Linked DNA regions of Nothobranchius furzeri. The protein of the gene in region 6 interacts with the protein of the main gene of each other region in a pairwise test. Links are inferred from orthologs where the notes say so. Each region holds a gene or a part of one and is shown on either strand. Other genes may lie near its edges.

Region 1 (3,997 bases), on a different chromosome or scaffold from region 6:
GAGAAATTCAGTTAAGTCCCAGTGATGCACTTCATAGGATTCTAGCTATGATAAACCATTAATTTACTTTAAATGCTTGTTTCTGTAGCAAATAGGATTAGCTTTCTGCAGATGTTCATCCATCATCTCCTCAGAACAAAACAGGATGAAGACAATCAGCTGATTATACAACTTTTTTGTGCAGCAAAAGCTGTGAATGGGCCGTGGCCAGATAATATATACTGATGGCTTGCCAGGCTCGCTATCACTGTGTTAAGTTTACCATTTCATAAATATGTTATTACCCTTATTCAAATTAAATCTGTTGTGTATGTTAAATAAACTTGCACAACCTTACATTATAGTTATAGTTGGAAATACAAGAAGCATGTATGCTGCCGGGAAGAAGGCGGAAACATGTGGCAGTGCCTGGCCCAGGCTCAGGGGACTCAGGTAGACCTTGGCGCATTCAACGGCATTTGGCAGGGGGAATTTTCAGCCTCATCCCAAGTGCCGGTGCCTTCTTCCTATTTTAAACTGCACTTAGACACTGAGGGCTGTGGGTGCAAGTGGAGTGGTGTGGTGGCATCAGCTGGCGTAGGCCAGACGATGCCTGCACTGCCTGCTCACCACAGCCATTGAATACACCTCATCAACACGCACTAACACTATATTGGAGCAGGTGGAGGGTGACTAGGGGCCTTAGCACACCTCTGTTGTCGCTTGGCTTCCCGGGGAGGCAGTAAGTATGGACTTGGGCATGTTCAACACATGTCTTAAGGCTGTGGTTGGCACTAAATGCACTGTGATTTATTATCGTGTGATTGTTCAGTAAAACAATGTTCATTTTATATTTCCTCATCAGGTTGACACAGTGATAGCTTGCTCCTGTTGTGTTGTTGCGTGTCCCTTTTCTGCAGGTCTAGAAGCAGATCCCTGTTCATCATTGATTGTTTATTCCCCCTCCCCCTTCCTTGTCTCTTCCTTTCTCTTTCACCTATGTCTCTGTGTCTGGTCAGAATTACAAAGCATTCAAAAACAATAACAATAAAGTTTTAAGTATCAGGCGTGACATTAAAAGCAGATGCTTTGATGCTCCACCTGAGAGTAAATCTGTACGGCTTGTTACCAGCATTCAGACATCAATTATGTGTGCTTTACAGCCAGACAGGACCGGGGGTGGGTACAGGAAGGAAATGTTTTGAAGCATCCATTCTCATGATTTTCACATACACACAATTGTACAAATGGCAGAAACACATGGTAACACAGCTTGTAGCCATTGAGTTCCTCATGCTGCTTCTAGATAAGAGAACCACCTGGATGATTATCAGCAATTGTGATTTCTTGAGTTAATTAGCCAACAAGGCCCTCAGGTGATCTACAACTCAAGTCTCTGTCTTACAAAGCAATGAAATGTCATTGAGGGATTGATTTGTCCTGATGTTGGTCTGTAATTGTGGGAGGATAAGAAAAGTGGAGCTTCGGATTCAGTTTTGTCCAAATAGAAGCTGTTTGAGTCATGACTATAACATATTTATGTATAATTTACTAAGGTATAAAGCTGGTAAGCGAGAGAAATGACATTGATGTAGTCAAGTTTTCTGTAAAATCTAATGCAATTTTCAGAATTTTAAAATACTTATTACAAAAATACCCTAATTAAGAAACCCTTGATTAAACTTGTATCACTTTACCTTCTTTTTTCAGCCATTTGACTATGCTTCCCTCCTCCATGGTGGGAGAGAGAGCTGGCATTTGTACTTTGAGTGGGCTGACACCTAGAGGATGGAAGGAAGAAAACACAAAATGTATATTCAAAGACAAGAGTAATAAAATAAAAAATGAATAAATATAAAGAACCGTTTTTCTCAGTGCCAGTTATTGCAAACCCGTGATCGTAGTTGATGGCTGTCAAACAAGTTAACTAGTTACGAGACTAAAAAGGATAGTAGGTTTTCTAATATCCGTAACCCATAGAGGCCACACTGTCTAACATGGAGGGGGAGGGGAGTACTGTTAATACTTATCCATGGTACAAAATAAAATACAGAACAGGTTTTAAAAATACTGACAGTGAAATTGTTCCTAAGTGGTTTTCAGTTAAATAAAAAGGTCAGAAGTCTCTTCTGTTTCTAGTTAAAGGGGTGTATGCTGTCATTTGCTGGACACTTAAAGCTTTAGTTAATTTTCATGAAGATTGTGATTTTTTATCTGACATTTAAGAGTAAATATTAATTTTTTGTGGTTATTTTTGGTAAGCTGCAAGTCTTTTGCATGTCTATTTTGTCTTCGAGTCAGCATGTTGTCTAAATCATCCTTAATTGAATATCTAATATACACTTTCCTAAAAATTTACAGGAGATAAAATTCTTGGCCACAATATCATGGCCTCTTTTTATTTTTTAGTAGATATTTCAATTTTTGCGAAGCTTGGTTTGAATTGTTTTAGAAGTAACTCAACTCCTTCGTAGATATTAAACCAGATGAGCCAATCCGGAATCGTTTTGTAAAAAACGACGAGACTTAATGTCACACACGTAAATCCATCACAATTAAACATAACTGGGTGTAGCAAACGTCAGGTCAAAGGAGAGCTGTTCTCCCTTGATTAGCCGGTTTTAAAGCCAACACTCACCAAACATCCATGGCGACTGAAATACGTATCTCACGCGATCCTGCGAAGGGTGTCGAAGCCAAAAACTTTTGTTAAAATTAAGTAATTTGAGACCAGAAAAAATTCCTTGACGACCCAAACGCAAGGAGACCGCCATGTCTTTCTCCTCCGTCGTGAGAGGTGCCCTCACAAGTGCCTGTCCATAAAGCAGCGGAAAGCCAGGATGGAGCTTGCTTTTGTTTTCCAAATCTATCATTGTGAAATTATACAGTATAGAAAAGGTTCAAAGGCATAAAAAACGTTAGCACATTCCTTTTGGCAAGGCAAAAATAATATAAATAGCATTGTATTTGTAATTAAAAAGGCAAAAAACTACCTACATGTTTCGGGCTTTATTATTTGAACAAAAAACTTTATTGATCCAACACATTTGACAGAACAGTGAATAGAAAATTGATGGAAATTGGTGTCATTCAAAGAATTAATAAGTAAATATAAATAAAAATAAAGGAGCAAGTATTTTCAAATGGATCTGAGGACACAATATTTTTCTAAAGCAAAGCAAGGCAGCCTAAATAATATTTTACAAATAGAGGGGATTCGATTTGTGAACAGAACAGAATAGAATAGAATATCCCTTTATTCTATATAGTAGGGACATGTTTGTATCACAACAGCAACCACATTCACAATAAGAACAAATAAATAAATAAGAAATAGAAGGCTGTACTCTAAACAAAAACATGTTAAACACTATTGCAAGAAATATTTTAAAGAAGAATCAATGGAATTTACAAAATGTTTGAATTAAAAAATAAAATATTGTGAGAGAACAAGCAGATTATTGGAGTGATCAGTAGAGAAATGTGAAGATAGAACTACAACAGAACTGTGCAAATAACCAAGCAGCAGGGAGGCAAAAAGTTTTAGTGGGTTAGTTGGAAGCAGCACTGGTTGCAAATCCTAACTGCTGCTGGGCCTGGGAGGAAAAACCCATGACAACGTTCCTTCATGCCCATAGGATGCAGCAATCTGTCACAGAAGGAGCTCTTCTGATCCAAAACAGCATCATGCATGGGGTGGGAGACTATCGTCCAACAGTGATGCTATTTTTGCTAGAGTCCTTCTGTCTCCCATTATATGCACTGGATCAAGGGTACATCCCAAGACAGAGCTGCCCTTCTTAATGAGCTTATCTAATATCTCTCTGAGCCACATAAGACGTAAAATATAAGAATGTAAGAATTCCTTAATGTCATTATATACACATAAGTTGGCAGCTCTCAGCTTGCAGACACACATTTGTAGAATATAAAAGCAACAGTGGGCAAATCACAACAATATTGGTCAGTGCAAACACTGGTAAAAAAAAAAAATAGGGACCCTTAGTCATGCCCATCC
Region 2 (3,207 bases), on a different chromosome or scaffold from region 6:
ATTGTATTAAAACAAAGAAAACAATCTGAAGTTGTTTTTAATTTACCGGTCCGGCCCACTTGTGACTAGATTTCCCTCAATGTGGCCCCTGAGCTAAAATGAGTTTGACACCCCTGCTCTAGATGGAACGCGAGTCACAACTTCCGGAGAGTTCCCTTCTCTTCACACCGGCCTACAAAAGATTTGCCTAAAAGTCCGGTGGATCATCGTGTTTTGGTAAATGTTAGATGGGCGTTGGTGGTCCCGATGCCCCTCTAGTTGCTCCATGACCTCACCCACACCCAGACGAGTCCTGCAGTGACATGATGTTCTGGAGATCTTTGAGCCTCCTTCATGTTGGGACAGATTCTGCTGAAGTGAGTCAATAATGATCGCGTTTAGCCATGACTAAAGCTGAACACGGCTTTCCTAAACTCTAAAGGAGCTCATAAGTTCTCAACATTTCACCTCAGATGCAACAGTCATCAGAAACCTGTTACAAAGCAGAAATCAATAACCGGTCCAAATGATTACGTTTTATTTCATGAAAGACAAATTCAAACAGCTACAGCGTCATTTTGAAGTTATCAGCAGGTTTCTCTCTAGATTTCAGGACACGCTGTGATACCCTAAAGCATCGTCACCTTCTGTTGGCTGCGATAAACAACCCGCTGCTGTTTGGACAGTTATTAGGAAGGCAAACCCACAACAGTAGTAAAAATCCCCATTTTGGGGCTATTAGCTATAAAGTGTCCACACACCCAACACTTATAAAGCAGTTTATCAGCTCACACACAGTCCATCTGAGTGAACAACGTAGAAGTTAACAGCTCACCGCGTTGGCTTTGCCCAGAGGAGCGAGTTTAGTCTGGTTTCCTGTTGGGAGTCCGCGGCGCAGCTTGATGACAGACGTGTGAATTATTAAATCCCTTTCATCAACACAACACAGGTGTGTGGGACATCAGGCCCCGGTCTTCTTGGGTTGTACCTCCTTTTCCATCAGTAACAGTAGTTCCACGTATGGCATCATGCTTATAAGACAGAGGGTGTGTGTGTGTGTGTGTGTGTTGCTCCTTTATGTTGTCCCATCTTCCTCAGGGTTGGCTCTGGATGCGTCTGCGCAGCTCCTGGGCTTTATCCCTCAGGGCGGGCCGTGCGTCCGACTGCAGAGTCGACAGGGAGCGCTGCAGCTGCTCCCGGCTCTTCACAGACATACACTCCCACTGCTCGCTCTCTGAACACACACGAGAATCAGCAACACACTCAGATATAAAAATCCATGGACTTAATACATCAGACACATAGAAGCTGGAGGGACCCTGATATGGTAAATGGTAAATGGCTTGTATTTGATATAGCGCCCTCTAGAGTTCTTGAAACCCCCCAAGGCGCTTTACAACACAATCACTCATTCACACATTCACACACTGGTGGGGATGAGCTACGATGTAGCCACAGCTGCTCTGGGACGCAGAGCGCCACCGGTCCCTCCGACCACCACGGCAGGCAACGTGGGTTAAGTGTCTTGCCCAAGGACACAACGACAGCGACAGACTGAGCGGGGCTCGAACCTGCAACCTTCCGATTACGGGGCGAGCACTTAACTCCTGTGCCACCGTCGCCCCTGATGGTTCAGCTCAGTTATGCAGTTTAACAGTGTTTCTAATTCTACATCCTTACGCAACACTAATTTATAACGACTGCATACAGGCACACTTGGAAAAAAATAACTGAAAATTTTCCCTTTTATTTTGAATTATAAAAATAAAAATACATATTATTAATAAATCTGTAGAAGTAAAAAACCTGATCCCATAAATGTAAATTATTGTATTGTCTTGGGTGTATTTTTTGTGAGACAAACTTTTTTTTTTTATCTCTTAGCAAGAAACAAAACAAATCACACAACATGAATGTCATCATGTCAAGGAGACTGCATCACCTACCTCCGATTCTCTTCACAATCAGATCCACAACAGACAAGGCCTCTGTCCGAACAGAGGAGTAACTTTTATTTTCTGCGGAGAAAACAAACAAACTCAAGTGATGAAAATCATAATTTAGTGTATTAGAGTGGAATCGGGCCCTCACCTAAAGGATATGTGAGAGCAGCACAAGTCTCCGTCAGGATCTCTGATAGTGCACTTGAGTCTTCACCAGCCTTCTCCAACAGCAACAAGCTACAGAGAAGAATGTTTGTTTTTACCGGATGAATGACGGAAGAGCTGGGATTAGAGACGACATGTTTGCTTTTGAGCGTCTTACTCCTGAAAGTACGGCTTCATGGCCTGCAGGACAGCAAGCTGCACTTTCCAAGTGCTCAGCCTGAGCTTTCCAGACATCAGACCGCACACCTCTGATTGGAAATGTGCTGCAGACACACACACACACACACACACACACACGCACACACAGATAAGAGCCATTTTTACATTTTCAGCCCAAGAGACGGTAAAAGCCTTTCTCTCAAAGTAAAGCCTGATTCATGCTTCTCCGTCAGCTCCAAAACGGAGAGACACGCACGGACGGAGACGTTTTGCTCTCGTGAACGTTGCAAAGCAATTCCCCAGCAGGACAGCAGAGGGCGTAGCGCTGTTCTGTGGTATCCTGTCGTGTATCTGGTCCAAGATAGTGTGTTTATATTGAGTTTTTTTGTATTTAAGAGACTTTTTAACACAGACAAATTTGTCTCTCATTCTTCTCCACCTCTTCATGCGCTCGCCACCTCTAAACCCACGTTTCCTGTCATTTCCGTCCACAAATAAAACGCCTGCTGTGCATCTTTTCAGTCCTCCAGTCACGGGGGAATTAAACGTTCACATTTTGAGTTTTTTCACGAGGTATTCTTCAAGCTGCTCTGTGTCTGCCGCTAGTTATCCTCGGCTCTCTTTATGTTTTTTAGGGCGCAATGGCGAAGGTGTAGACCAGGGTAGCTGCAGATTTAAGGGAGCCAAATTTAAGACTTTTTAAGACCTTTTTTTAAGGCCACTTTGACCAAATTTAAGCTATTTTAAAAATTAAATTTAAGCGATAATTTCCAGCTATTGCCTGGAACCGGTGCTAACCACGTCGCGAACGTGGGATTAGCCATCCAGCTACCATTAAACTTCCACTTCCCCATGGTGCAAGCTCCCACTAGCTTAACCAGCTAATGTGCTCATCTAAAAAAATAGCCCCCTTTCACAACCAACTGACTGCGTACGGTTCCGCTTACACCAGTATCGTACA
Region 3 (3,500 bases), on a different chromosome or scaffold from region 6:
AACCAGCGTTACCTCCATTGTGCTCCTGTCTGTGTCAAGCCCCCCTAGGCGAAGGACCTTCTCCCCCATCATTCTCTCACGGGACATCCTCCCCCCCACGGCGTACAGCCTGAACCGGATGGCGGACAGCTGCAGGTCAGACGGCTCTAAACGGGAGAAGCGGAACGTCTCGTTGAACTGCGGCAGTGAGCCTTTCTGCACAGACGTCCTGTGGCGTTGCTTCTTGGAGGGCAGCAGGACCATGTGCACCTGCCAAGAGTCCATCCCACTGCGAGCCTTGTCAGGAATGTCACGGGCCGTGATGATGGTGACCAGCAGCCTCTCCGATTCGGGCCGGTACTCCAGAGAGAGGACCAGGTCTCCACATGTAGAGATGGGGGTTCGAGGGGAGGAGCAGACTGGCTGAGAGGCAGCGTCATCACAAGGAGATGGCGTTAGCTGAGAACAGAAGTTTTACACAGATGTTAAACCGTCAGCCGTCATGATTCCCGGAACACAATATGAGCAAACACGTTTTAAAATGTCATTTAAAAATCAACATAAAGGTGCCACACATTAGACAGATTAAAGCACAATTTTCTATTTTAGTTAAAGTGAACAAATGCCCACTTGTACTGCAGTTTTCCTTCCCAGAACACATACTGTAGAGCCGGAATGCTGTGCAAAGGCTCTAATCCGTCTGCATCAGGAATGTGGCTAAACGTTTAGAGAAGGACACATCCTTTTGTCAGATGTTTCCATGGTTACTGAAGTAGAACCGCAAACATTTCATAAGATCCAAACACTTTTAGGGAAGATTAAGTTCATGCAAAGACTCAATATCTGCAGAGGTGGTCCTTCTGTAGTTCAACTTAAAGAGCAAGTCACCCCCTACCAGAGTCTAACTCCACTCCCACTTCATGTTTGAAAAATGCAACAAATGCTGTTGCCAGGCAGACCGAGAGGGCGGAGCCGCTAACAAATACACACACACACACACACAAAAACAGCATTGTGACATCATAATGTACCAGTTTACATCATAGCATACCTCTTAGCCAATAGCGGTGGCAGATTTAAATTCAAATACAGTGCAGTTTTTACCTGACAACGGCACAACACTGCCAGTTTTAGGCAGAATATTTAAATTTTAATTAAGATGCACTGAAGTGCCAAATTATTGACGACACGTGTCTGCAGCACGATTACACACTCGTTTATTTAGCTTATCAGCAAAAAACAGTTGATTTGGGGGTGACTTGCTCTTTAAGCTGCTGTCAGTCGGCCTCTAGTCCAGGTCCTGACATTAGTGTTGGGTTTGTGTTTGTCCTCCTGCCTCTGGACGATTAGTCACAAGTTCTCAGTAGGGTTAAGGTCTGGGGAAGGAGGGAGGGTGTCCATTGTTGGTCACCAAACTGTTGTTGGATGGTTGGAGGAGTTCCTCTGGGAGGAAGTTTACCTACCATTCTTTGATCAGTGTCTGTCCAATAGTCCTGATGGACAGACACCGACTCCTGCTCTTAGCCAACCACCAGTATGTATTTTGTCTAGTTGACACCTGTACAGGAACTTGTTGCAACATTTAAACTGTAGCTATGATGAAAACAACAATGATGGAACGTTAGCTGTTGAGCACTGGTACTCAGCTGGAGGAAGTGCAGTGTGCAGATTTATGTCTCCTTTAGCATCTTTGGGAATATAAAAGGTTCCCACACAGGGAATTTCAAGTCCTTCCTTGGTGGATATAGTGATCAAGGTGGTCGTTGCTTCTTCTGCCATAAAAGTGTGATTTGGTGACAGAAAGGGTGTTACATTCTCCAGCGACACAATGGAAACACAGAGGCATCATCAAGAGTCTCATCCTGACAGAGTCTTTGTTTACACACACACACCGATCATAGTTCCCGAGCTTTTGTTTGTTCACCGCCACGAGAGGAGAGTTCTGCTGTTTCAGTGAATCCTGCATGAACCTGAGCAGATTACAGACAGAAATACAATCACAGCTGACTCTGGTCACGAATCTGCCAAGTATGGATGTGGAGCATTGCAGTATTTTCTTTGTGTGTGTGTGTGTGTGTGTGTGTGTTTGTGTGTGTGTGCAAGCACGTAAGAAAATGACTGAAAATGAATAAGTAAACAACAGAATAGTCCTAATTTTTCAAGATGGCGGCCAAGAGTTAAAATTGCTCACCGGCCTCAAACATTCTGCATTAAAAAAATCATAAATTAGCTCATCTTCAGGTTCAAGTTTATTTGTAAAGCCCCTTCCTTACCCCAGTCAAGGGGCCCACGGTGGTGAAGATAACGTAAAAACAACTAAAGCACAATCAATCAATCAATCAATCAATCAATCAATCAATCAATCAATCAATCTGCTATATAATAAAATACAGAAATAAAACAATCGAAGACACGAGTTAAAAACAGCAAAACAACAATGATGATCAAACATTAATACACGAGTATTAAAACTAAGAAACAGATCTAAGATGCACCTTCAGCCTAGCTTTAAAAGTGGGCAGCGATGTGGACCGTCTTGTTTCTAGTGGCAGTTGGTTCCAAAGCCGAGGACCCAGAACTGAAAAGACAAGATCACCTCTGGACTTTCGTTTTGACCGCGGTACCACTGGGAGGTCACTCTGACCCAAACGTAGCCATCTTGAAGGGACATAACGGGTCAGCAGCGAGGCTAAATATGGTGGGGCAGTTCCTGACAAAGCGTTAAAAACAAAGACCAAGAGAATACAACATTTCACTGGTAACCAGTCCAAAGCAACAGAGGATCGATGTAATCTTAGAAAAGCGCCTAAACTGGTAAAAACACAAACGAACAACAGAATTCACCTGACTACCAAATGTTAGAGTAGAATCTACTTTAACACCCAAATCTGTAAAACAGACTTCTCATAGAGGAGCAGCGATAAAAAGGGCTGGTGGTTATTCGGGGTAAAAGCTATTATTTCAGTTTTGCCCTCCTTCAGAGCCAAGAAATTGGACCCCATCCATTGAGTAACGTCCTGTAAACAATTCACCAGCTGCCGTATGCTGCCACTGGCCTCTTGCTGATTTGGCAAATAAAGCTGGCAGTCATCATCATAGAGATGGAAGCTAATTTTATGTTTCTTAAACAACAGTCCCAGTGGTGAGAGAGAGAGAGAGCAAAAACAGCAGGGGTCCCAAAACCGAGCCCTGGGGAACACCCCACCTAAGTTCAGCGTCTCTTGATGAATAAGAACCAAGGAAAACAGAGGAAGTCCTTTCCACAACGCAGAACCAGAGAGCCCCACCCAGTGTTCCAAGTGGTTCAACAATATCTGATGGTCAACGGTATCAAATGCTGCTGCTAAGTCCAACAGCAGCAGAACCCTTTACAATGTTCATTAGGTCCTCTTTTTAAATGTTAAACAAGGTTCTTTTTGTTTCGGACATGAAGGTAACTGGAAACACCTTCATGTCCGAAGCAAAAAGAACCTCGTTTAATAAGCAGCAGAGCCACTGCCTCACCAGCATTAGATGCTATA
Region 4 (4,296 bases), on a different chromosome or scaffold from region 6:
CCTCAAATATTGAGATGCTCCTCTATTTCCTCACTATTTTCCACAACCAGTAATTTAGTTCTTGACACTTTAGCAGCTGCTGGTCTCATGTCCCTGGCAAATGTTCAGATATTTAGCATTTTATTAGGCTATAATAAAAACTGCATTACAGAGGATTTTTTGTATTGTGCTGGCTGGGGAAATATGTACATTTTTCTGGTTGTTTTTTTTTCTCACAGGACTCACATCAAAACTTCAGCACTGTTTGTAGGATCCACACATCACCAGAGCTGTTAGGTGAAATAGACTAAATTCTTGCTTTGCAAAGTTTATTTAGCAAATATATGTATTTAGTCTGGCTTGCCAGGCTTGTTAGGTACAGATATAATGAAAAATGCAGCTGAATAGAATAATGGCAAACCAATATTTAGCAGAATTTCTTCACGTGCAGATGAAATCTGACCACTTTGGAAAAACACTGTAACCAGAGATCAGTAATAATGTATTTATTTTAAATGTACGGTGCGGAAACTGGATTACCACACTTTACCGTTTCAACCTGAACCTGAGGATTGAATCTCTTCAAGACGTTGTCTCCCAAAACCTCAGTAAGTTTTGAATAAGAAAAAATGTAGTGGAAATGATTAAAAATCCAACTTAGGTTTTTAATTGTTGAACTGCTTATTGAGATTTTGAATTTTTGACACACTAGATGGATCAGTGTCCTGAGTTGTTTTTCTCCAATATACATTTGAATATTTAATTTAAAAAAAACATATGAGGCAATAATATAACCACCAACAATTACTTTTATGATCACTCTAAAATGAATATTTACATTATTAAAGTTAACAAATCTTGAGAGAAATTACATTTGTTTTTTTTAAACCTGTACATTTAATAATTTATCCTATAAACAGTGCTACTAAAGTGATGTAATGTGCTGAATTTTCTATTAGCCACTACTACAGTACTGATAAAATGTTCTAAAGTTTAATACACTTCAGTGACAGTTTGGTGTTTCTGATCATTTCAACAGTCCAGACTCAACATTATTCTGAATATAAGAAAAATAACAAATGCCAAATCGATTATAAAACAAGAACAAACATTTAGTAAAGCTAAAAGCGTTAAACTCAAATATTTAGATTTATATATTTATAATTACAATTTATTTCCAGAAAGATAAAACAAACATAAATGCATGTTTTTCTACACCTACTATTCAACATCTGAGTGAAAACTAAACTGGAATAAAACAAAGCCTTTGAAAACATATCCGAGACAATTATTTTACACTCTCAGTAGTTTATTTTAAATTAAAATCCTTCATAGAAATCAACTACCAAGATGTTTTGCTCATAACGATACAATAAAGTTCATTATATCAGTTTAAACTGATCTTTATGCTCAGATGTAGTTTTAGGAGTCTTGATGATTAATGCTGCGTTTTTGAGCTCCCTGTGAACAGAAGGGAGTGCAGCAGAATGCCTGTAGCCACAGAAACGTTCAGTGACTCGATGCCGGGGGACAAGTCCCTTCCAGCTGGGATGGTGAGAAGGGTTTGGCACAGAGACAGCAGTTTGGGCGACAGACCCTCGCTCTCGCCTCCCATCAGCAACACTGTCGGAGCACTCATTTGAAAGTCTGAACACGGGACGACAGGAATGTGAGACACTTCTGTGCCTGCTCCCACTGTACCGACCACCTGCCAGCCCTGCACCACCTTCAGCCTCAGCATTTCCTCCAGGTTTTCATGCGCGTACACCCCCATCACTTCCATCACCCCTGAGCTGGCCTTGCTGACCACCGGAGACAGGGGACAACTGTGGCGAAGACTGCTGATGACCTTGTCCACACCAAGGAAATAGGCAGAGCGTAAGATGGCACCAAGGTTCATTGGGTCCTGGATTCTCTCAAGGACCAGCCAAAGAGGGGCGCTGGTGTCTCGCTGCTTAGCTTCTGAGTCCAAGGCTATGTAGCTGAGAGGACTTACGCACAGACAGACTCCTTGGTGAACTCCTCCAGAGGACATCCTGTCCAGATCTTTCTTGCTAACCCTATTGATCTGTACTCCTCGTTGGTTTGCCTCCTCACATACCTTTAAGACAGAAGCTCTCTGAGAAGTCTCACCATCTTTTACAAACAGTCTGTAGGCATGTCTTCTACGCTGAGTGAGAGCCAAGAAACAGGGGGCTACACCAAAAATCACCTCCTGGGCTTTGGAGTCAAGTGCTGGCTTCTGTATCACCAGCCTCCCACTGTCTGCAGGGAAATCTTCTAGACACAGTTTCCTGAGTTCAGATGACACTCTGGAGACATCTGTCCTCACTTGATTCCGTTTCTGAAACAGGGGGTTCTCAGTCTTTACAAATTTATTCTGGGATGACTTCCCACGATCCTGCAACCCCCCAGATGCAGCAGGCCGTTGTTGATCACTGGATGTTTTAGGCCCTCTGAAGTGTCTCCTTACAGCTGGGTTCCTGTCCTCTGTCCTCAGGAGACAAGCTGTGACATGGTAAGAAGCTGCCAGAGAGAAAGACTCCAGTGTGTGCAGTTTTCTGCTCCAAAGAAGCATAGTGTTGAGATGACTGAGAGCCGAACTGTCTTGACGAACCGTACTTTAAAAATTGTAGAAACAATCAATCCAGTCCCAGTGAAAATTGCCTGAACAGCCCATGGATCTGCAGATCAACCAGGTGAGCGCAATCCTAATCATCAACATTCAAAAAGCAGAAATACGTTTGCTGCTTTCACGTTATAACAGCACCATTGATCAGCACGTGTACAATGAGATCAGTCAAGCTACAGATTTGCAGACCGGATGCCAGGAAGTTTCCCTTTAAATTAAAAGTCTTGACTGTGGATTTTCATGTCAATACCGAAAACAAAAAATTGCAAACACACTCTCACACTCACACAAGCCATAAATAGATAGATGGATAGATGGATAGATGGATAGATGGATAGATAGATAGATAGATAGATAGATAGATAGATAGATAGATAGATAGATAGATAGATAGATAGATAGATGGATGGATGGATGGATGGATGGATGGATGGATGGATGGAACTGAGGACTTAAAGGAGTCTAAATGATACATGCAAGTTGTTTACATAGGCTGAGCAAGCATGTAAATTAAAGAGCCTAGTAAAACATTTGATAAAAATTCTGACAACTGAACTGACCATGAACTAAGTATCAGAGTCAGCTGAATTAAGCACAAACAAGTGATTTTTGTTTCACAAGCTCACGGTGACTATGTAGACTTTGTGGGCAAGGGCACAGAATCTAAAATATTTTTTCAATCTTTCATTATTTATTTATTTATTTATTTATTTATTTTTACATGATCAATATGTTTAGTAATAGTTTTTACTGTTGAAACCACATTTTCAAAATATTTCTGTGTCAAAGGTCGGTTGCTGACGATCCTCGATGAGTGTCTTATTTTGAAACTTTTCGGCTCCGTTGTACTTGTCGTTTCTTTGGAACTTGACGCACGTGACGCAGTGGCAAAATGTTTCTCGGGGCGTACGCGGCTGCGTCATTTCCCGGAAAAGCAACCGTCTCAACACGGAAGTGTTGGAAAGAAAACAAATAACCGTTTGTTTTATTTTTGGACTCGAGTAAAAGTCGTTGAATTCTCCCTGAGCGCCGTTGAATTCCCAGACTCCTGTGTCGTCGCTGACGAGTGAAGTTAACGGTGAGTGTGATACTGTTCGGTACCACTGGGTTCGGTCTGAGCTTTCAGGTCGGGACAGGAGAACCGAACCGAACAGTGATGAAACCGAACCTTGGGCCTCTAGCCACACAACTGACTGCTGAGTAATTTGAGTCAGGAAAACAGAGTAGTTAGTGTCAGAACTGCTGTTACCGGAAGTATGTTAAATGTGACTTTAAAGTGTTGAGTAAAAGTTTAGCTGGAAAGCCCCTCCGTGTTCAATGCTACTACCTTCACTGGGCTGACTGCATTTCTAAACCAAGGTCAGTTACTCACATTTGTCTGCTGGGACTTCAACTGGCGATCATTTCCTATCTGAGCCTTGTTGATTTATAACTACCGAGTAAATAAATAATACTACTCTTTTATAAATCACACCTGGGTTGGTGACACACCTTATGTGACAGAAACTGTCAGAGACTTGTTATAAACACATTTACGTTTGTGTTAAATTAGGGTTTTTTTGTCTCTATCTTCACTTTATGCCGCAATTTCGCACAAACTTAAATTACCCAACCAGTTAATGCAAAGATATTTTGTTTATTGGGATAGGGGAACAGAGTTTTCATGTCAGCCTAAAGAAGTGAAT
Region 5 (3,977 bases), on a different chromosome or scaffold from region 6:
GACGTCTGGACCAGCCGTGCTACAGAGGCGTACCTTGGTCCTGCTATCTCTTGAGTTAAGATTGGAAGATGAAGCGCTTCAACCTTGACACCAAGACTCTGGTGAACACACATCAGTTTGGTTTTAGGTGCCTACTTCCACCTGACTGTAGCATTTGTATTAACTGGTTACAAAGTTATTAAAGTTGTTGGTAAGCTATCATCTTGTCTTTATTAGTAGATGGATCACACTTCAGACTAGAAGCTAATGATGGTATATTAGAGCATCAACAAGCTAAACCTTTATTAATGACACGATTAGTCGACTACTAAAATAGCCGGTTGTGGCAGCTCTAGGTTGGTTCACACATTGGAGAACACCAGGCTAACCCACTGAGTTCCTTAATTATAATGCGTGGAAAGTGAGGGGGACGTGCATTCATACTAGACAGCCAGCTGGATAAGTTAGTTGAGTTTAGCTGTGAAATCTGCAGTTTTTTCATCATTTATTTTAGCAAACTAACCCTAAGCCTATTTTATGAAACTTTATTTTGAGTAAAGTTTTATTTGTAAAATGTTTTTCTTTCTATTGGAATCACAAAATAAAGTTTATTAGTTCCAGTTGCATTGCACTAAAGTCTTACTTTGTTTTTGAAGGTCTTAAAAAGTCTTGAACAGGTATTAAATGAAGTTGATGAGTGATACAAAGCTCCAACACCAACTAGTGCGCCAGTGGAAGTCCCGCTCTGACACCCAAACACAATCGTCTTGGTGATGAGCGCTTTCAGCACCTTCTTTTAATGTGATTTAATAAATACTTCAGTGAGATGTACTACTCTGTACCACACCAAATAGCTGCTAAAGTGTGAAAACATTTCTTTCACGTCTGCCCCTGCCTCCCTGACTGTGTCTCTCTCCTGCCCTTGATTAGTCCTTATTGTTTTCATCTGCCCCTTGTTTACCTGCCCATGTGTTCCTCATTTGCCCTGTGTATTTATATCTCCCTCCTAGTATCAGTCTTTGTCAGATCATTGTGTTTGTTGTCAGCGTTGTTTTTGTCCTGTCGTTCCCGCTCTGTTATTAAAACCATTTTTACTTTATCCGAACCTGCATTTTTGCCTCCAGGTCAGTTCCTCTACACACGGTCCGCCAACATCCACACCCACAAAGTGACAATTTCTGGTAAACATTTGTGGCATTCCGATTTATTCATTTGTCTTGAATGCTTGATTATTTAGTTGTTTTCTACTGAGTGTGACCACTCTCAGGACATTTATACCTTTACTTGAGGTTATACCTTTAACTTGGTTATTCAAATGTATGTAAGGCACTTGTTGTGCCTGTGTTCTGTTGTTAAACATTTTCTGCTGACTTGAATAAAACTGTGAGAAAAATCATGTATTTCATCCTTGTATAAAATGTAAAATGATCAGCTATAGTATTTCTGGATTCTGTTACATACTTAAATAATTTTGCAGAAAGTAACTGAAAGTGGTGTAACTCAGCTAGATTAATGAGACGGTAGTATTTATTACAAACATATTACATTGTTATACTATAATCAGTAATATGTATGACATATATTAAGTTAGTCCAACACCGATTATACTGATGAAATTAAGTTTGTTTTGTCTGGTTAAAACGGGTCAAATGGGATTCATGTGTTCTTTTCTGACAGAACAAGAACTTCTGTGGGTTGACCAGAACCAGGACCAGCATCAGAAACAGGCCCAGAACCAGCATCAGAACCAGAACCAGGCCCATAGTGACCCTGCATTAGCATCAGCGGTGTGTTTCAACACAGAAGCCGACTGTGGTGCAACGACCAGGCCAATAACGTTCCTGAAATCGATGCGATGTTTCCGCTTTGCGCTCCGGAACATTTGGCAACAATGCCACAAAAGCGCACTGCTGTGGCGCACGCACGCAGGGTGGTAAAAGAAACGGAAATAGAGAGCAGGAGCCTCCGCGCGCGGGCCTACCTGTTCCTCCTCCGCTGACAAAGTCGCTGCCATGATGATTCGGAAGTATCCCTCGTTTAAAGGAAATGAATTCTAGAAGTTGTCCCTGTGTCTCACAGCTGGAGACATGAGAGACGCTGCGTGCCCTCCTGCGATCCACACCGGCCTGTTAGCTTGAGCCCAGCGTCCAAGAGAGAGAGAGAGAGAGAGATCAGTAGCTCATTCACCGAACCCGCAGCTGTCCGGACTCCATGCAAGGAATTGCAAGTTTTTTTTTTTTAGCTCTGACTCTGACTAGCTTGTCTTTATGCAGCCTGAGGCGCGCGCGCGCGCACTCCCTCTCTCTCTCTCTCACACACACACGAGCATGAACAAAGAGACTCTGTTGCCTTTCAATCTGCGCTCTGCGGAGCCCCCTGCTGGTCAGAACCAGAACCAGTAGGGTTTATATCCATATGTGTGAGAATCCCAACATTAGGAAACTGCTACGGTACTTGGACTTGGTGCAAGAAAAAAAAATGATAAGCAAAATTAGAATTAAGAAATAAACATCATGAAATAATAATAATATAGGGAGGCAATAATTAGAGAAGCAGCTACTATATACAAGACAGTGTAGTGTAGGTTCTGGTTAGAGCGGGTCACTTCAGGTGCAGACGGGTCTACGTTTGTCATTCATCAGTCCAACTGCGGAGGGGAAGAATCTGCTTGTCCAAAATGCTGCAGCTAGAGTTCTGATGAGAATTACAAAGAGAGATCATATCTCTCCTGTCTTGGCTTCCCTACATTGGCTACCTGTTAAATTCAGAATAGATTTTAAGACCCTCCTTCTCACATGTAAAGCTCTTAATAATCAAGCTCCATCATACATCAGTGATCTGATTGTTCCATACGTTCCTAACCGAGCACTTCGCTCTCAGACTGCAGGTTTACTGGTGGTTCCCAGAATATCTAAAAAATAGGACAGGAGGCAGATCTTTTGGTTATCAGGCTCCTCTCTTGTGGAACCAGCTCCCAGCTTTAGTCCGTGAGGCATACACCTTGTCTACTTTTAAGGCTAGGCTTAAAACATTTGTATTTGATATGGCCTTTGGTTAAAATCTGATGTTAGCCTAGATCTGGACAAGCGGGGGAGTAGAGGAAGGTGGAGTGTACAGTCGATAAAGACGGCTCTCCCTTGCCCTGCCTCCAACAAGCCTCCATCTAAAAGGCTAGGTTATCCAGAGTTATCTCTGTAGTTATGCTGCTATAGGCTTAGACTGCTGGAGGATACACTGACCACTTTCCACGCTAGACTACTTTCTTCTAAAATCTGCTCAGAACTGTATTATTTCCTACTATTTTAGCTGTTAACTTTATTTTTTCTCTAAGTGTTTTTCTCCCCAGAAGAAGCTACAGTGATGTTCTGCTGAGCTGTGGTGGCCTCATGGAGGGGGCCATCGGCTAGCACACTGCTGCTAACCACTTAAGTATTCTTCCTCTCCTGATAATAACTTTTTACTCTCTTTGACATTGAATGTGCTACTACTAGTTTACCTGTTTAATTATAGATTCACTGGGATAAATACAATAAAGTTTATCTCTCACCAAATAGAATATTTACTAAGAAATCACCATGTAACTATAGACACATTACTTGGTATATATGTTTTGTGTGTGGATGTGTGTGGGTGTGTCTGCTCTGTCTTCTTGTGGAGGTTCCTCCAGCCATTTCTCAGTGTTAGTATTATTTAAATATTTTTTCCACACGCTGGTTTATTATTTCATTTTGTTGCAATATTTTAAGATGTTTACTAATGGGTGCACACATTTAGTTATTTATCTTATACATAGTTTATTTGATCATTAAATATTCTCCGTTTATCTGCGGGCAGCAGAGGACGTTGTCGCCCTCTACTGCCCGCTCTCCCCTCTCCGACGATGCAGTCCCATGCGTGGTCCAGCGTGTAAACTCCGTCGTCCCTGTTCATGGTCCCACATCCACGTCTCCTTATCTCGATTGCTTCCTTGATCCATCTTTTGTGTTTTTGTTGTTCGG
Region 6 (2,784 bases):
CTACTCCGAGCCCCTCCGGGATGACTGACCAATGAATGCCGGACCATGTCTAATGCTGCCGCTCGTCGTTTTCACAGATAATAATGTGGTTGAAGCAGAGTCAGCCCTGTTAGTTTAGCAGCAAATCATTTTAAAGGCTTTCTGAAAACAAGAACATTGAGTTAACTTGAGTTAAAAGCGTCATGGACAGGTTTTACTAACCTTTGTCTTGACAAGAAAATTTCAGCTAGATTCTAAATTTCAGTCCTGTAGAAGAGGAGGGAGGGGAGGCGATTATTTAGTGTGTATTGGAGCTAAGTGATTAGCGTAGCATTCAATCTCACGCTATCAGACTGTTTTTGCTTGTTGCAGCATTAGCAAGGGTGTGCTAGCATTGGAAGAGCCAGATTCCTGCACGTTTTAGAGGTTTCCCTGCTGAACACCACATATGTTTAAACTGAGTGATTAGCTGCTGCAACCAGATGAAGGCTGAATTCAGCAGTTAGAATTAGGTTTGTCTGAGCAGGAGCATATCAAAGACATTACTTAGTGCTAGCGTTCACACTACAGAGCTTTGTGAGGCATGGCTCTCAGCCGTTCAAATTTCTAAATCTTTTCCTTCTCACCACGATGACGTCATGCTATGCACCCCAGCTTTCATAATCCCGATTTGTTTAGTGATAGTCGACTTGAACTAGCTGTTGCTTGTACCTGACTGTGCTCAGCAGTGCAACGCCAGCAAAGCAATCTAGCTGCAATTAAAACCCAAACGCTGTCTGAGAGGATCATTAGCTGCTTTCATCTGACATAACTCAGTCTAATGGGTGTTCCTGCTGTGCAAAGTAAACCATAAAGAAACTAGATTCATCAATATTCAATTATCCTCTGTGCAGTCGACAAATGGGTTTCATCAAGGTTTCGCATCTCACCACTAACATCCTTTTGTCTTCTAGCGCTTTTTTTTTCTTTCATTTTGATCCATTCTTTGTGAAGTTGATATCCAAATGTGCTCATCACATTAATTCAATGACATCAGGTAACAAATCAAAGAATGATCATTTTAAGCCTCCAGGTCATTAGAATTTCAAAGATCTGCGATGTTAGATCCATAAGTGGATGTCTGCAACATAAATGAGATCCTGCAGCCTCCGATCAGTCTGACGAATCTACACAATGACCTAAATCTTTGTTTGTGGGTTCTGTGTGGCCACCTCTGCTTTCTGCACATCCATCTCGAGCTATTTTTGTTCCTGCATCAAAGCGGGTCATTCATTTTACAGCCTGCATGCTTCTTTAACACGTTTCTCCATGCACTCGGATCGCATGGTCAGAGTGACTCACACACACATTATGAGGAACTTGTGGGGTTTCTGTAAACAGTCGAGCTGCAGCTTGAATATTTTGATTAAGCAAAAAAAATAAATAAATCACGTGACTAACCAATGAGATGTGGAATCATCTGCTGCTGGTTTGGAGCAGATGATTCTCCAGTTTGAGTAAAACAACATGAGGGGGATCTAAACTGGACACAGGGAGAACAATGCTCCTTTAATTCAGAGATTATATTTACAGAAATAATCTCACTGGTTCTTGGGGTAAACCAAATCAAATCATGTATTTGATTGAAGAATCACATATTTTAATGAAGTATTTTGTTTGTTCAAATGTAATTAGAAGCCTTGAGTTGATGATGTGGGCCTGCCTTCTTAAAGTCTTGCATGTTATCCATCCTTTATGTTTAAAAACATCATGGAAAACGGTGAGTTTGATGCTTTCAGCGCCACTTACCAAAGTTGATGTTGTAATCTCCTCCTCGCTCTCGGTACATTTGGTATACAAAGAAACAGGAAGCAGGTTTGAGCAGCAGGTTGAGGATTGCCATTCCTCCACTGAAGCGTCTTTCTGCCGAAAAGTCATTCAGAGGATAATAGATCCCAAAATGCACGATGTCCGTCAATATTGTCACCAGCATCCCCATTAGAAACTAGAGGGACAGCAAGAAAACACATGTAAATGACAGGTGTGTGTGTGTGTGTGTGTGTGTGTGTGTGTGTGTGTGTGTGTGCATGTGTGCGAGCGTGTGTGTTCTCTGTCTTCTCGATCCCCAGTGAGTCGTGGAGAATGGCTGCTTATACTGAGCCAGGATCCTCTGGAGGTTTCTTCCTGTTAAAAGGGAGTTTTCCTCTCCACTGTCGCTATATGCTTGCTTAGTATGAGGATTGCTGTAAAGTCACTGGCCGTGTTCGAGTTGAGCTGCGCCTCGCCTGGAAAACAGACGAGAGCAGACGGAAGCAGCAGGGGGAGTGGCTGAAAGCCGGCGTTTAAGTCGGACACAATTTCCTGTATGTGTAGCTCGGGGGTGACGATGGCTGAAGATATCGCGTGAGCGTTCACACTTGTTTAATTTTCAATTTTAATTCTGGTGCCTGTTAGCAGCTGAAACACATCCTCACGTGCTTGTGGATATCATATATTGTATATGAAGTCATGACTGTAATAATAAGTGAAGGTTATCAGCTGTAGCTTCAGTGTGCTCATAGGAAACGTGACAAAAGAAAACAAAACACATTTCTCTTTATGGCCTATATAGTTGTCATCATCAACGTAACATGATTTACAGAATACATGTGACCAACTAACATTTCATATTCTACCACCGGATGTTTGGATCAAAATATGAACCAGTCAGATCTTAGATCAGGTGAGAGCCAGGTGTTTCCCGTCATCCCCTAGGTTTTGCAGCCGGTGGAGAGCAACTGCAGCGCCTTGCTCCAAAATCTGCGACTGCCTTGATCTCACGATGTT
Region 7 (4,214 bases), on a different chromosome or scaffold from region 6:
AACCAGCAAGCTAAAGAAGCCACTCTTCTAAAGATGATATTCCGTTTTGGCTTGTTTAACTCAAACAACGCAAGCGCCAGAAGAGCTACCTTGCTCCCCTGCTCTCTATTCTTAGCCATTTCCTTTAATAATAACCAGAGTATTGTCTGCTGGGTCCTTGAGAAGCACCTCCCTCGACCTTCAGGAAGAGATCCTGTTTACCTTACGGATGCTTCTGTCTCCAACTAGTGTCTCTCTGGAATACTCTGCCGTCACCTTTTGTACTTCTACCACTCTAAACCACACACACACACACACACACACACACACACACACACACACACACACACACACACACACACACACACACACATCAAAGATTGTACTTTGCTAAGAAACTTTTAAGGTCATGAGTTGTTCAGGAGTTTGATATTTTGCCAAAAGCCAAACTTAAAATGATTCCAGTTCCTTGAAACTTGTACGTACCTAAGATCATGCTCACAGCAGTGATATAGATGGATGGATTGTGCAGCAGGGCTGCGCAGTGGCTAGAGCTGTTGCCTTGCAGCAAGAAGGTTCTGGGTTCGCTTCCCGGCCTGGGATCTTTCTGCATGGAGTTTGCATGTTCTCCCTGTGCGTGCGTGGGTTCTCTCCGGGTACTCTGGCTTCCTCCCACAGTCCAAAAACATGACTGTTAGGTTGATTGGTCTGTCTATATTGTCCTTAGGTGTGTGTGTGTGTGTGTGTGTGTGTGCATGGTTGTTTGTCCTGTGTGTCTCTGTGTTGCCCTGCGATGGACTGGCTCTCGTCCAGGGTGTACCCCGCCTGATAGCCCGTTGACCGCTGGAGATAGGCACCGGCTTTAATATAACGACGCCTACTGCACATCACTGACAGCAGCAACTATTCGGGCTAAACCCACAGCAGAAAGTTAGAGCTAAGTGACATTTTATTAGGCAAACATACCCTGTCTACAAGAAGCCTCGACTTTTATTTTCTAACATAAACCCTATTCACCTGCAGGGCGGGACAGACAGTAAACATTATACTGTTACTGTTAGAAACACGTTAGCTAACGAGCTGTGAAGCTACTCAGCTACATGTTGACTGACGCGTATCTCTGCCGTCGGAAGTTTGTATGCTAGCTAACGCTGCGGCGCTCTTACATCCCAAACAAACAACAAAGCTGGTGTCGTTGACTTACTTTGGATTATTTGCTGAATTCGAATTCAATATCACTTAAAAGTTTAATACTCGTAAATAGTTTTTACCGATGCTGGTTAAGCTAATGTTTTGTTTCCCAGCACCTCCGAGACGCATACGTCATCAAGCCGCGCGGTGGCACTGTCGCGTTTAAGAAACGTAGAAGAAGACCCATTCTTCCTCTGCTGTTATAGGCACAGAGGTGTGAATGTTTTGATTAGGACTTTGCTGTTAGGCATGTTTCCACTTGGCTCTCTGCGGATTATATGTTCACCTCGGGCTGCGCGACACCCGCCCTGGACGAGGAAGCATGGAGCGTCTCTTCCAAACGCTGCCACGTTAAGTCCCAGCATGGCAGCCAGCTTCCACAGCAACAACCCTCCTTGGCACAACGGCGTGAACTTCAGAGAATTTGGAAAAGTAGAATTTTATTACACTAAAACGGTCTTTTCATCCAAAAGTTGCTGCACAAGTCAGATTAAACCGCACTGCTGGAACTGTAAGCGACTTCTAGAGAAAACGTCCACATTCTTCTGCAAGTCATGCCAGGCAATCCAACCCCCCGAGGAAGGAACCACCTACTTCAAAATAATGGACTGGTTAGTGTCTTACATCACTTCAAATCAGCCATTTCTAAATGAGCTGTCATTCAATTTCATTTCATTGTGTGCTGCCCCTTTTTGCAGTGACTACACTTTCACACTGGACACCCACAAGCTGCAGACAAGATACTTGCAGCTTCAGCGATCTCTTCATCCCGACAACTTCAGCCAGAAGTCTGTGGTAGGCAGGGGAAATGATGACCAGTTTGGTGAAATGGTTCACGCGTCAAACCAGGCTCTGTTATCGATTAGTTGGACTGTGGAGCTGCAGACAAAGCATGTATATCATATGATGCTGTTTTAAACCTTTGAGAGCAAAGTGGGCAGTGTAAATAAAGCGGTTTGTTTTGGTGAAACTGCCCAAGCCCACTCTGACAAGATGTGCCTACAGCAGTGATTCAGTTGCTGTACTGGTTATGGTGGTCCAGTGGTTAAGGTATTCAGCCCAGCACTCGTAACAACTGGACTACCAAGTCTGCTACGTGACGGTCGCCTAAGCCACATATCCTGTGCTGACCAGCTGAATTAGGTTTCATACCAGAGACTATCTTCCGGGAGAGGAGCAGGGCCTGATGATTAGTTTCCATTCATGTGCAGCTGAAACAGGAAAATGCATTAACACAACCCAAAACGGGTTTGTTTGTGTAACAGTATCACGGTCAAAAGCTCCAAAAAGTGGATTTTTCCTGATAAGGCGTTTCCAAGGTTACGTTGACTGTATTAGACAATACAGAGCAACATCAAAAGAGTCATCATAAACCAAACAACAACAACAAACACCCATTTATTTTCTACTGTACATTCTGTTCTTTGCTCGATGTAAAACCACTCCCAAAGGATCCATCCATCCACCCATTTTCTGAACCCGCTTTGCGACCCAATAAAAAAATGAAAAGAAGCAGGTCTGAAAACGACATCTGAGGCTTATAGATGGTTTACTAATATTGGGTAAAACTCAAGTATTTTTCAAAGCTTCAGATGTTTTAAGGTATTTCATTATGACTGAGCCTTTTAAAAGAGAAGGAACAAAGGAAGACCTTTGATTTACTTGGTGAACACGGCTGCAAAAAGAGCCCAAAGATCACACCTTCAGTTCAGCAAACCTTTAACGTTTTATAATGTTCTCATATCCATTACCCGTTTACACAGCATCAGGTTCATGAGCATGAGATTCAAGGCTTCATTGTCCTTTTGTACAAAGGAAACGTGCACAATAAAATTCATAATTTGTGTAATTGTAATGATTTAGACAGTTAAAGCCGAGTATGAAGATAAAAAAGATGCGTGAAAAATGCAATAACTGAAATTCCCACTTTTGGCCTTTTTTTCAAGGTTTCAGCTTTAAGTTTGAACTTTTGTTGTGTAAAAACAAAAGGAGGCATGGAGAATATTATAGGTAATCCACATTTAGGAGACAACATGGAAGAAAGAGGTTTTAACTGTTAATACCTGCATAACATCAAGCAGACATAATGTGAAACTGGACAGATTTCCAGTTGTCCGCATCACGCAGAAACACATTATGCACCAAAGAACAAGCACACTCGTTAGATAAGTCATTCATATCATTTTCTCAGCTGTAGATCTGAACAGAGAGGATCCTGATTTGTGTGAATGCATCCAGCGTCAGTGGAGCTTCTAGGCACATTAAGGTCTGCGCAGAGGTAGTTTGATTGTGTTTTATCTTTTTTAGTCGATGGGCCTACAAGCTGTAGGAACAAACCTCCAGGATGTTGTAATGGGAGCAGTTGCATAACGTTAGGAATTATTCTTGTTGCTGTATTGCTCATGCGCAAATATTCAGCAACAACAAAGGAAGACTCCGTCCACCGCCCTTCAGTAATTGCTGAATGAAGGCAGCTGTGGGATTTCCTATAAAATCCCAACATCAAAGACCGCAAAAAAAAGTCTCAGATTCAGCTCATTTACAGTATAGCGTGGTATAAAGTGTCTTTTAGGTTTTAGTTACTCGTGCTGCCCAAAATAAGCTTCGATCTCACTTATTTTTCTTCCCTGGGACATATTAATCTATAATTATATATTATACCTTACTATATTAATCTATAATTCTATATTATACCTTACTATATTAATCTATAATTCTATATTATACCTTACTATATTAATCTATATATTATACCTTACTATATCAATCTATAATTATATATTATACCTTACTATATTAATCTATAATTCTATATTATACCTTACTATATTAATCTATATATTATACCTTACTATATCAATCTATAATTATATATTATACCTTACTATATTAATCTATATATTATACCTTACTATATCAATCTATAATTATATATTATACCTTACTATATTAATCTATAATTCTATATTATACCTTACTATATTAATCTATAATTCTATATTATACCTTACTATATAAGCATTTAAATGAAAACTTGCAGAAAA

Evidence for each region.
Region 1: the proteins of agtrap (region 6) and pdhx interact in binary tests that used the Homo sapiens proteins (3 or more experiments, as listed by UniProt). The two-hybrid records come from large-scale screens. The link is inferred for Nothobranchius furzeri from reciprocal best matches to the Homo sapiens genes AGTRAP and PDHX.
Region 2: the proteins of agtrap (region 6) and ecpas interact in binary tests that used the Homo sapiens proteins (3 or more experiments, as listed by UniProt). The two-hybrid records come from large-scale screens. The link is inferred for Nothobranchius furzeri from reciprocal best matches to the Homo sapiens genes AGTRAP and ECPAS.
Region 3: the proteins of agtrap (region 6) and syt16 interact in binary tests that used the Homo sapiens proteins (3 or more experiments, as listed by UniProt). The link is inferred for Nothobranchius furzeri from reciprocal best matches to the Homo sapiens genes AGTRAP and SYT16.
Region 4: the proteins of agtrap (region 6) and mrm1 interact in binary tests that used the Homo sapiens proteins (3 or more experiments, as listed by UniProt). The two-hybrid records come from large-scale screens. The link is inferred for Nothobranchius furzeri from reciprocal best matches to the Homo sapiens genes AGTRAP and MRM1.
Region 5: the proteins of agtrap (region 6) and ptpn9a interact in binary tests that used the Homo sapiens proteins (3 or more experiments, as listed by UniProt). The two-hybrid records come from large-scale screens. The link is inferred for Nothobranchius furzeri from reciprocal best matches to the Homo sapiens genes AGTRAP and PTPN9.
Region 7: the proteins of agtrap (region 6) and hscb interact in binary tests that used the Homo sapiens proteins (3 or more experiments, as listed by UniProt). The two-hybrid records come from large-scale screens. The link is inferred for Nothobranchius furzeri from reciprocal best matches to the Homo sapiens genes AGTRAP and HSCB.

The regions. Positions count from the first base shown.
Region 1 is NC_091744.1:75,526,061-75,530,057, reverse strand, and holds the start of pdhx (pyruvate dehydrogenase protein X component, mitochondrial), read right to left. Parts: upstream 2,801-3,997; 5' UTR 2,754-2,800; coding exon 2,618-2,753; intron 1,761-2,617; coding exon 1,677-1,760; intron 1-1,676.
Region 2 is NC_091747.1:76,192,011-76,195,217, forward strand, and holds the end of ecpas (proteasome adapter and scaffold protein ECM29), read right to left. Parts: intron 2,351-3,207; coding exon 2,245-2,350; intron 2,160-2,244; coding exon 2,071-2,159; intron 1,998-2,070; coding exon 1,926-1,997; intron 1,214-1,925; coding exon 1,074-1,213; 3' UTR 501-1,073; downstream 1-500. UniProt on the Homo sapiens protein: Adapter/scaffolding protein that binds to the 26S proteasome, motor proteins and other compartment specific proteins. May couple the proteasome to different compartments including endosome, endoplasmic reticulum and centrosome.
Region 3 is NC_091758.1:9,697,614-9,701,113, forward strand, and holds part of syt16 (synaptotagmin-16), read right to left. Parts: intron 439-3,500; coding exon 1-438. UniProt on the Homo sapiens protein: May be involved in the trafficking and exocytosis of secretory vesicles in non-neuronal tissues. Is Ca(2+)-independent.
Region 4 is NC_091756.1:50,275,901-50,280,196, reverse strand, and holds the start of mrm1 (rRNA methyltransferase 1, mitochondrial), read right to left. Parts: upstream 2,801-4,296; 5' UTR 2,558-2,800; coding exon 1,418-2,557; 3' UTR 1-1,417. UniProt on the Homo sapiens protein: S-adenosyl-L-methionine-dependent 2'-O-ribose methyltransferase that catalyzes the formation of 2'-O-methylguanosine at position 1145 (Gm1145) in the 16S mitochondrial large subunit ribosomal RNA (mtLSU rRNA), a universally conserved modification in the peptidyl transferase domain of the mtLSU rRNA.
Region 5 is NC_091754.1:45,568,528-45,572,504, forward strand, and holds the start of ptpn9a (tyrosine-protein phosphatase non-receptor type 9), read right to left. Parts: upstream 2,801-3,977; 5' UTR 1,994-2,800; coding exon 1,961-1,993; intron 1-1,960. UniProt on the Homo sapiens protein: Protein-tyrosine phosphatase that could participate in the transfer of hydrophobic ligands or in functions of the Golgi apparatus.
Region 6 is NC_091743.1:75,225,095-75,227,878, reverse strand, and holds part of agtrap (type-1 angiotensin II receptor-associated protein), read right to left. Parts: intron 1,964-2,784; coding exon 1,768-1,963; intron 1-1,767. UniProt on the Homo sapiens protein: Appears to be a negative regulator of type-1 angiotensin II receptor-mediated signaling by regulating receptor internalization as well as mechanism of receptor desensitization such as phosphorylation.
Region 7 is NC_091750.1:33,252,191-33,256,404, forward strand, and holds the start of hscb (iron-sulfur cluster co-chaperone protein HscB), read left to right. Parts: upstream 1-1,414; 5' UTR 1,415-1,419; coding exon 1,420-1,781; intron 1,782-1,868; coding exon 1,869-1,965; intron 1,966-4,214.